Linked DNA regions of Nothobranchius furzeri. The protein of the gene in region 1 interacts with the protein of each later gene in a biochemical or structural test. Links are inferred from orthologs where the notes say so. Each region holds a gene or a part of one and is shown on either strand. Other genes may lie near its edges. The genes, in order: mapkapk2a and zfp36l1a.

Region 1 (4,280 bases):
GATAGGGACTGGATGAGGGAAAATAAAAAAGTCTTATTGTGTTGATGAGATAATTACTTTATAAGCTGGAAGTCCCACCAGTACTGGAATTGTACGCTTCATTTTAGCACTTAGTGTGATTATGAGGACACACACACACACACACGCACACACACGCGCGCGCGCGCACACACACACACACACAGACACACCTACATTTGTGTAAATGTTTTACTAATATATCTGATCAGTTCATTTCGTGTTCTCTTTATCCTAAAGTGTAATTTCATGAAGAGGAATCTAAATGAAAAATACTGAATGATCTAAGTGCAATTCTAAACGACACTGCTACACGTCCCAAACTCTCATTTAAAAACTGAATCAAACTATTGACTTTAAATGAATATTATTTAAGTACCACAAATCAAACAATCTTGTCTTCAGGACAATTTACTTTAAGAAAAACATGTTTATCAATTAAGTTTTGACACCAATAATCTCCCAGTGGAGATAATAAAAGTAAGAAATGTTTGTCATGTATGCGTGTGGTTTTAAATCGACTGTTAAAAAATAAAAAAGAAAAAATATATAAAATTATAAATGAGTGTTCAGTGCCTAATTCCTTATTGGGCCGATCCTTTATTTGGGTCTACCCTAAATGCTCATTCCCACTTCAGAGGGCTTAAATTATCCCATTAACATTTGTTTGGTAGCAGTGCGTCTTCCCAACTAGAAAACTGAAACCGGATTAATGAGTTGAATTCATTTTGATGTGAAACAGTGATGTGGAAACAGAAAAGCCCTAACCTTGAGGTAACCTGTTCCTCTCCTCTCACAGACTAGTCTGCGTCTATTTTGGTCCCTCGCTGTTGCTCTTTAAACGCTGTTAGTGGCCGTGTGGACGTCCCCTTGTTTATGTACTGAATACAATCCAAACAATCAAACTCAACAAACATATAAAACGTGGTTTACTTTATGATTCTCTGGCGATTATCAGCGAGCCAGATAATCCGGTCATTTCCTCTGTGGTACTTCTCCTTTAAGAACAACACAAAAAAAAAACTGCCATGACGTCATGAGTAAACCCTGTCCACCGAAAAGTGAAGTGTGTTTGTCGCGTTAGCTTGGTCGGACTTTTCCTCTCATTTCACGTTATTTTACTAGGTGGTTTTGGTATTTTCAAAGCCGAATTGTGAGATTTCTTGATTTTAGTAGCGTAACACAACATTTTAAGCGACTTGAAGGGTGTTTTAATAAGTTCCTGAAGCGTTTTCGTCTCTTCGATTTTTTGAGGAACCGGTGGAAGGCGGACACTACCGGAGATGGATAAGCTAACAGTTAGCTTAGTTGTTAGCCGGGAATCATAGGTCATAGAATAGGCTCGAGCTAGCATGCTAAAAATAGCTTATCTGATATTTTTCGGATTACCAAGTAACTTTGTTAATCTGTAATTTTAATATTACTGTCGGCTTGTCTCCGGGCCTTAGTCTCTTACGGTGTTCGGTCACCAGCTAAGTCGGGAAGACCCAATTTGTGTTCAAAGGGAAACGACGGAGCGGTGTTGTTGAGTGGTGGCGACTGATTATCTCTAAGCCCAGAACATGAACATGCTAAGTAACCCTCAGAACCAGCCACGGTTTCCGAACCCAGCGGGCCAGCAGAACCCAAGCGGGCAACAGAACCCTCCGGGTCAGTTTGCCCCCTTCATTTCGAAATCCAACCTACAAATCAAGAAGAACGCCATCACAGAAGACTACAAGATAACCAACCAGGTGTTGGGGCTGGGCATCAATGGAAAGGTGTTGGAAATCTACCAGAAGAGCACCGGTGATAAATACGCCCTAAAGGTGAGTTACAGCTGGAAACAACAGTGTGCATGAACTGGTTATTGAAGGTAACACCACTTGAAGTGGCAGTAGAGGATACAGATTTAGAAAATAACACATAAACACACCCTAATCCAGTGGTGTCCAACTCTGGTTCTTGCAGCCCAACTATCTAGCATGTCTTACACTTTTGTGTGCTCCAGATGGTAATCATTGACTGATTAACAAGATTCTACAGAACTTGAAGACATGCTTAACAAATAATTCAAACACTGAGTCGGATGTGTTGATGCAGGAAAATGGCAAACATGAGTAGGAGTTGCCCTTATGAACAGCACTGTTCCCTTTGAGAAGACCTCCCATTTTGGTATATTTTTATAAATTTTGCTACAAATGTGTTAACATTAATATAATTTAATTATATAAAATAGCATTTCCACCTAGCTGTGACGGATAATGGCGAACTTAAAAAAAATAAAACGTAGATATTTAGTAGTGCTGGGTATCGATTCAAATTTCCAGAATCGAGTCGACTCCGATTCTTGAGATTTAGAATCGATTATCACTATGTAACCTGATCGATTCTGATCCGATATCGATTCGATTCGGGTCATCAATTTAAAAACATTTTTGCAGTTACCTTAATTCCATGACTGCATAGTTGTGCAGTGTATTGATAATATTGACATTCAGTGATAAATTAATGAAATATTGGCCATTAAACATGGTTGTAAAGATCAGTCCCTCTCACAGAATGTAATAATAATAATAAATAAATAATAAAGTCCCATTAGTTGTCACACACACAGGTGTGTGTGCAAAATTTGTTCTCCGCATTTGACCCATCCCCTGGGGGATGGGGTGAGCTGCAGACACAGCCGCGCTCGGGAACTATTTGGTGGTTTAACCCCCCAATCCAATCCCTTAATGCTGAGTGTCAAGCAGGGAGGCATTGGGTCTCATTTTTTCAAAGTCTTTGGTATGACCCGACCTGGAATCGAACCCCTGATCTCCCAGTCTCAGGGCGGACCCTCTACCACTAGGCCACTGAGAAAGGTAATTAATGATGTCAAGTGTTTCCAGTGTTTTCTAGGACATTATTAAATTCAGACGTTAGGAATTCAGCCAAAAGATATTGCTGTTGAAAGCAAATGCCATTTTTATTCAAATAAGTTTTACCATATGACAAAAGACATTATTTGCCAGTGCAAATGTAAACAGAAACAGAAAGCTCAAAATTAACTGCTTTCGTTTTACTTTGTGCAAATAGAAATTAAAAGGTACAGAACCTTAAACAACTGTTTCACAGTCTTGTGCAAAAACTTAAACACTTCAGGTATCCAGAAACATTCAAATGCCGATAAAGTACAAAAATGTAAACTTGTGAAAACTGAAAGGCATTCCATATTGATGTACAAACAAAATAGAACAGGAACATAAACTTGACTAAAGACAGACTGTGTAAACTGTCCTTATGTACATCACTTGCGAATGGTAAGATTCTTCTGCAGGAAAAGTAACTGATTCACATGACCAGGGGTGAGACAGCTTCTTTTTGCAGTAATTATATCACCTGCAGTTGAAAAAACCCTCTCAGATACGACACTGGTCCCAAAGACACAGAGATATCGCTTAGCCATGCGAGCCAAAAGAGGATACTTTTTCATTCTCTCTCCACCAGACCAGAGGATTGTCCTGCAGTCCTGCAGGTTTCCTCGCCCTGTACCTCTTGATCTCATCTTCTGCCACCTCTGCACAAGTTTTCTTTGCATGCCCCCTCTCCTCTCTTGGTCTGTAGTCTTCCCCAAGGAGAGACTCCAAAGCACTGGATTGCTTGGGGTTAGGTGCAGGGGGGTTGTTTTCCTCCTCTTCCTCCATTTCATCAACTTCATCTTGCTGCGTGAGAGAGAAGAAATACTTATATGTGGTGTTGTGCAACAATAGGCTTTGGTTTGGCAATGAATAACTTAACATAACATAAATCTGTCATTTTGATCTATAAAGTCAGACAACCACTTGGATATCAGGAAAAGTGTTCAGTCTTGGCTATAACAGAAGGTGCATCCTCACACCTGTAACCATCATCTCATCTGGCAGGAGAACAATGATGAATACATTTCAGTTAAGAAAAAGAAAAACAGAGTTGTGCAGTTGACTGCAATCTATTTTATTGCACACGAACACAGTCAGCAGTGTAAAATGAGCTAAACAGTGCAAAATATCAGTCCAGAATAATTTTTTGGCATCAAAATATAAGAGGTAAATTCCATAAAAAATAATGTAGAATCTAGAATAGAGTTTGTAAGTGGTATGCATTGCTGGGGGGTGAGTGTCTTGTTCCCCATGTAGTTGTCCATCGTTGCTTGTTTTTTTTTCTGCATGAGAAACACAAATAGACTGAAATAAGTACACATATAAAATAAAGCAGCACACACACTACAACACTAAATCAATATTATATTATTTGAATTAACA
Region 2 (4,340 bases), on another chromosome or scaffold:
TAGATCTCTTCTCTGCGTCGTTCAGGCCTTCTTGTCTTGAGTCAATTTTAGCATTTATGTACAAAAACAACCTCCCTCGCCTCCCCCACCACTGCAGGCAGGGAGACAAAGATCTCCACCCCCTATGTGGCTCCTGTGCAGGCAAAAGAAGAGGAAGGGGAAAAGGGAATGTTTTGCCTCTACCCCCACCCCTCTCCCCTCACCTCCCCAGGGCAGTGCTGTGTAGTAATAAACGTCCCCCATAAATCTTCCCCTCATGCCATCATCCCCCCACCCCTCATAACCCTGCCTTTCTTTTCTCCCCCCCTCCCCTCCTCCTCCTCCCTCCTCTCCTTTCTACTGCAACCCAACCCTGACATAAACACATGGCCGATGGCTTCTCTGTCATGGATTTGGAAGGCGGGAGGAAGTCAGAACCAGAGCCACAATAGGTTTGTATAAGTTTCACAGTCCCAAAGCCTGGCTCTTTCTTCTGACCCTGAATGCGTCATGATGACTGACTTGTGGTTAAATCTGGTGAGATCACTTGTGTATCAAATTATCACCCACCTGGTGAGGCGATATGAATTTGAGAGAAGCTTGAATGAGTTGTGGTGACAAAAACATATATATATATATATATATATATATATATATATATATATATATATATATATATATATATATATAAAGAAAGAAAACAGGAGTACAAAAATGTCGGGGAAAGAGTTAAAAAAAAGAACTCTGCAACCACCGGAAAGTCCCACGAGTGACGTTACAGTCCAGCAATTAGGAGTAAATTAATTACAGAGTAGTGGATGGTAGCTTAAACCCTGAGGATAATGTATCGCCTCCCAGTAAACAACTGAAGAGTTCCATTAGAGGGAAAACAGGAAGTCACAGACTTTGTTTAATCTCTGTGTGGCAAAATCTACAATCTGCAGCTCTAGCTTTTAATATAATGTTTATTGTTTACACTTTTCCATCACTGGGTGACTTTTTTGTGTCAAATCCACACAAATTAGTCTTTAAGGAGGGAAATGCGGAACAGATGTGGTTCTCCACACACACACACACACACACACACACACACACACACACACACACACACACACACACACACACACACACACACACACACACACACACACACACACACACACACACACAACAAGTGTTAAGGATTCACAACACGTCCAGCAGCGTAACCACGTCAAAGAAACTGACTAACCCGGGCTACAAGTTTGGCTTCAAAAGAGGAGCCGGGAAGAGGGGGAAGGAAAAAAGAGAAAAGTTTCTGAAAGTTAACGCCCAGAAGTTCAGGCTCCTCCTGCCCGCTCTTCAAAAGCAAATGTCGACGCTAAAGTGGGGCAGAGGGGGAGTCTGCAGGGTGTAAAATACACAGGAGCTGCGAATCAGAAACTCCGCAGACCTGCGCAACTCTTTAACAAGCACCGGTTGTTTTTTTTTTTTTTTTAGTTTTTTTTTTCGTCAGTAATTCTTTACTCACAACCTGCCGCCGTAAAGATGACCACAGCCGTGGTGTCGCCGTTCTTCGACTTCGAAGTAATAAACAAGGTACTTTTAAACTTTGTGCATCTTTAGCTGTGAACTCTTGCTAGCTGCGGCCCTCTCTCTGGCGCTAACGTGGACGCTGCTGTTGTTTTTTTGCTGTCTCGTCTTGCTTTTTCCCCCTTTCCTCTGCCTTCTTACAGCTTGTTTGTGTCGTTTCCTTCTCCTGGAGCGTTTATGTGACACAAATGCCTCGTGAGTCTGTCGTCGCGTGACGTTACCATTAGTAGAAGTTTCAGCCACAGCGCGTGCCACATCACCTAGCCGTGCTTGACATGCTATCACGCATTTCATTCAAGTTCAGCGGTGGTTTAAAGTTGGCTGGAGTTAATTCGGGCTGGGTTGGATTTTGTTGGGGAAAGTTTTGCGCCTCTTTTGTGTCCCGCAGTTGTTGCTAATCATTGACCAAATGTGTCGAGCCTTAGTACGCGCTTTCCTCCTGGGAAAACCGTAAAACACTGGGAAGTTCATGTGAGGAGAACGTGTGTGAGATTCGCCTCGTTTGCATGCATTTCCCTCGGTATCCGACTGCTTATCAAGCAAGATTTTCCCGCTTTTGTAGGGATTAACTGTTTTGTGTTCATGTAAATCAGCAACCAGCAGGTAAGCTGCAGAGAGGGCTCGCCATGTGCAACCCAACAGGATGCTTCGCTGTTTTAGTACCAGATTTGAAATGATGCAGCCTTGCTGGCAGCCCACAGGCCTCTCGTGCGCTGCAGCTCCATTTAGTAAGCAGGCACACATTCCTACCCAGGGTAGCCAGCCAAACCAGCTGCTGCTCTATAGGCCTGTATCCGTTTATGCTGTCAGAGCCAAAAAGAACAGTCATGCAATAGAAGGTGGAGGTTTCTTTTTTTTCTGGCCTGCCTTTTTATAAACTTGCACGTTCTGCCTGTGCTATAAAGTATTTGTAGAATGTGTGCTAATAACATGTTTTGTTTTGTTTTTTCTTGCAGAATAATAAGCTTCTCAGCTACAACAACAACAACAACCTGGGTGCCCCTCACCCCATGTCTGTCCCTTGCACTGGCACAAACGTGCCCATTTCCAACGCCGCCGGATCCCTGCTGGACAGGAAGGCGGTGGGGTCTCCCTCAATGGGGGGTGTGTACCATCGGCGGCACTCTGTCAGCATCACAAAGTTTAGCCAGAATCAGTTTCTGAACAGCCTGAAGGCAGTGGACCACTCCTCGCTCATCTCAGGGCCTGGCAATGCCAGCAACAACAAGGAGAACCGCCTGCGAGACCGCTCCTTCTCTGAGATGGGTGAGCGGCTGATCAACAAGTGCCTGGGCCCGGCCAGTCCCACGTGCGGCAGCAGCCAAGTGAACTCCAGCCGTTACAAGACCGAGCTCTGCAGGCCTTTTGAGGAAAACGGTTCCTGCAAATATGGTGACAAATGCCAGTTTGCACATGGGATCCATGAACTGCGTAGCCTGAGCCGGCACCCCAAATACAAAACTGAGCTGTGCCGCACCTTCCACACCATCGGATTCTGCCCGTACGGGCCTCGGTGCCATTTCATCCACAACGCAGAGGAGCGCCGCGGACCTCCCCAGCAGTCCTCCCCTCTAAACTCTTCAAACAAGATCGAGAGGCCTCGACTGCAGCACAGCTACAGCTTTGCCGGGTTCTCCAGCTCAGCTGGGCTGAGAGAAAGTCCCACCTCAGTCACCCCACCTCCCATGTTCTTCCCTGATGAGGTCCCAGATTGGCCCAGCAGTAACCCCTTCACCTATTCCAGCCAGGAGCTGGCCAACCTGTTTGGGCCAAGCCTCGGTGCTGGTTCTGTAGGCACAGAGCCCAACACCCCTGCACCTCCATCTCCAACAAGCTCGTCTTTTCTGTTCAGACCTATGTTGGAGTCCCCACAGATGTTCGAGTCGCCATCCAGCCCTCGAGACTCCCTGTCAGACCAAGAAGGTTACCAGAGCAGCTCTGGCTCAGAGTCCCCCTCGCTGGACACCACCCGCCGCCTTCCCATCTTCAGCCGCCTCTCCATCTCCGACGACTAGACCGCCTGCAGCCTCCAGTGACTTTTTAAGTTTAATGACGCAAAGAGAACATGGCTCTCCCCTCTACCTCCTCCTCCCCATCTTTCAGTTTCCCACCGAGTCCCCCGTCATTGTAAGGATGTAATCAATGAAGGGAGCTTTTCTTAAATGATCATTTCATCCCAGCTGATCTGCACATCTCATTTAAAATTCTGCCATGTGTCATAGTGCCAAATGAGAAGTGGAAATTGAACAGTGAAAACAAGAATTAACTTTGTCCAGGTGCCACTTGCATTTTTCCTCTTTACACCCCCCCCCCCCCCCCTTTCCTCTTCAGTTCTTGAATGTGTAGCAACAAGTGGCCTTGGAAAAGGGGAGTGCGATGCACGAACCCCCAGCCCCCTCTTGCCTTCTCTGCCCTGATGATACCACTTCCCCCTGAGCAGGCTAGATGGTGCTCACTAATGTAATTGTAGCTCTACCGCAGATGTTTTTGCAGACTCGATGCATAAATGATATAAAAAAAATGATAGACCCTGAAAATATATGAAAAGGTTTTAAACAAAAATAAAAAAAATAGTGCCTGGGGCGGTTTCTGCATGTGTTTAGGGTGAGTGGACTACTGTGTTTTTTCTCTCTGCTCCTACCCCACTGTCAGTTCTTCTAAAGCCCCGTCTTATGTAACTGAACTGGGTGAGTCTGCAGGAAGGACTTTGAACTGGAAGTTGGTTGTGCCCCCCGCCCTCTCCCGAGTTTTCTCCTGTTGCTGGTCACTGGCTTATTTTTATTTTTTTT

The links.
Region 2: of the proteins of mapkapk2a (region 1) and zfp36l1a, one has a biochemical effect on the other in vitro, tested with the Homo sapiens proteins (2 studies listed by BioGRID). The link is inferred for Nothobranchius furzeri from reciprocal best matches to the Homo sapiens genes MAPKAPK2 and ZFP36L1.

The regions. Positions count from the first base shown.
Region 1 is NC_091743.1:50,981,841-50,986,120, reverse strand, and holds the start of mapkapk2a (MAP kinase-activated protein kinase 2), read left to right. Parts: upstream 1-1,348; 5' UTR 1,349-1,580; coding exon 1,581-1,826; intron 1,827-4,280. UniProt on the Homo sapiens protein: Stress-activated serine/threonine-protein kinase involved in cytokine production, endocytosis, reorganization of the cytoskeleton, cell migration, cell cycle control, chromatin remodeling, DNA damage response and transcriptional regulation.
Region 2 is NC_091758.1:21,529,003-21,533,342, forward strand, and holds zfp36l1a (mRNA decay activator protein ZFP36L1a), read left to right. Parts: upstream 1-1,374; 5' UTR 1,375-1,506; coding exon 1,507-1,557; intron 1,558-2,507; coding exon 2,508-3,566; 3' UTR 3,567-3,798; downstream 3,799-4,340. UniProt on the Homo sapiens protein: Zinc-finger RNA-binding protein that destabilizes several cytoplasmic AU-rich element (ARE)-containing mRNA transcripts by promoting their poly(A) tail removal or deadenylation, and hence provide a mechanism for attenuating protein synthesis.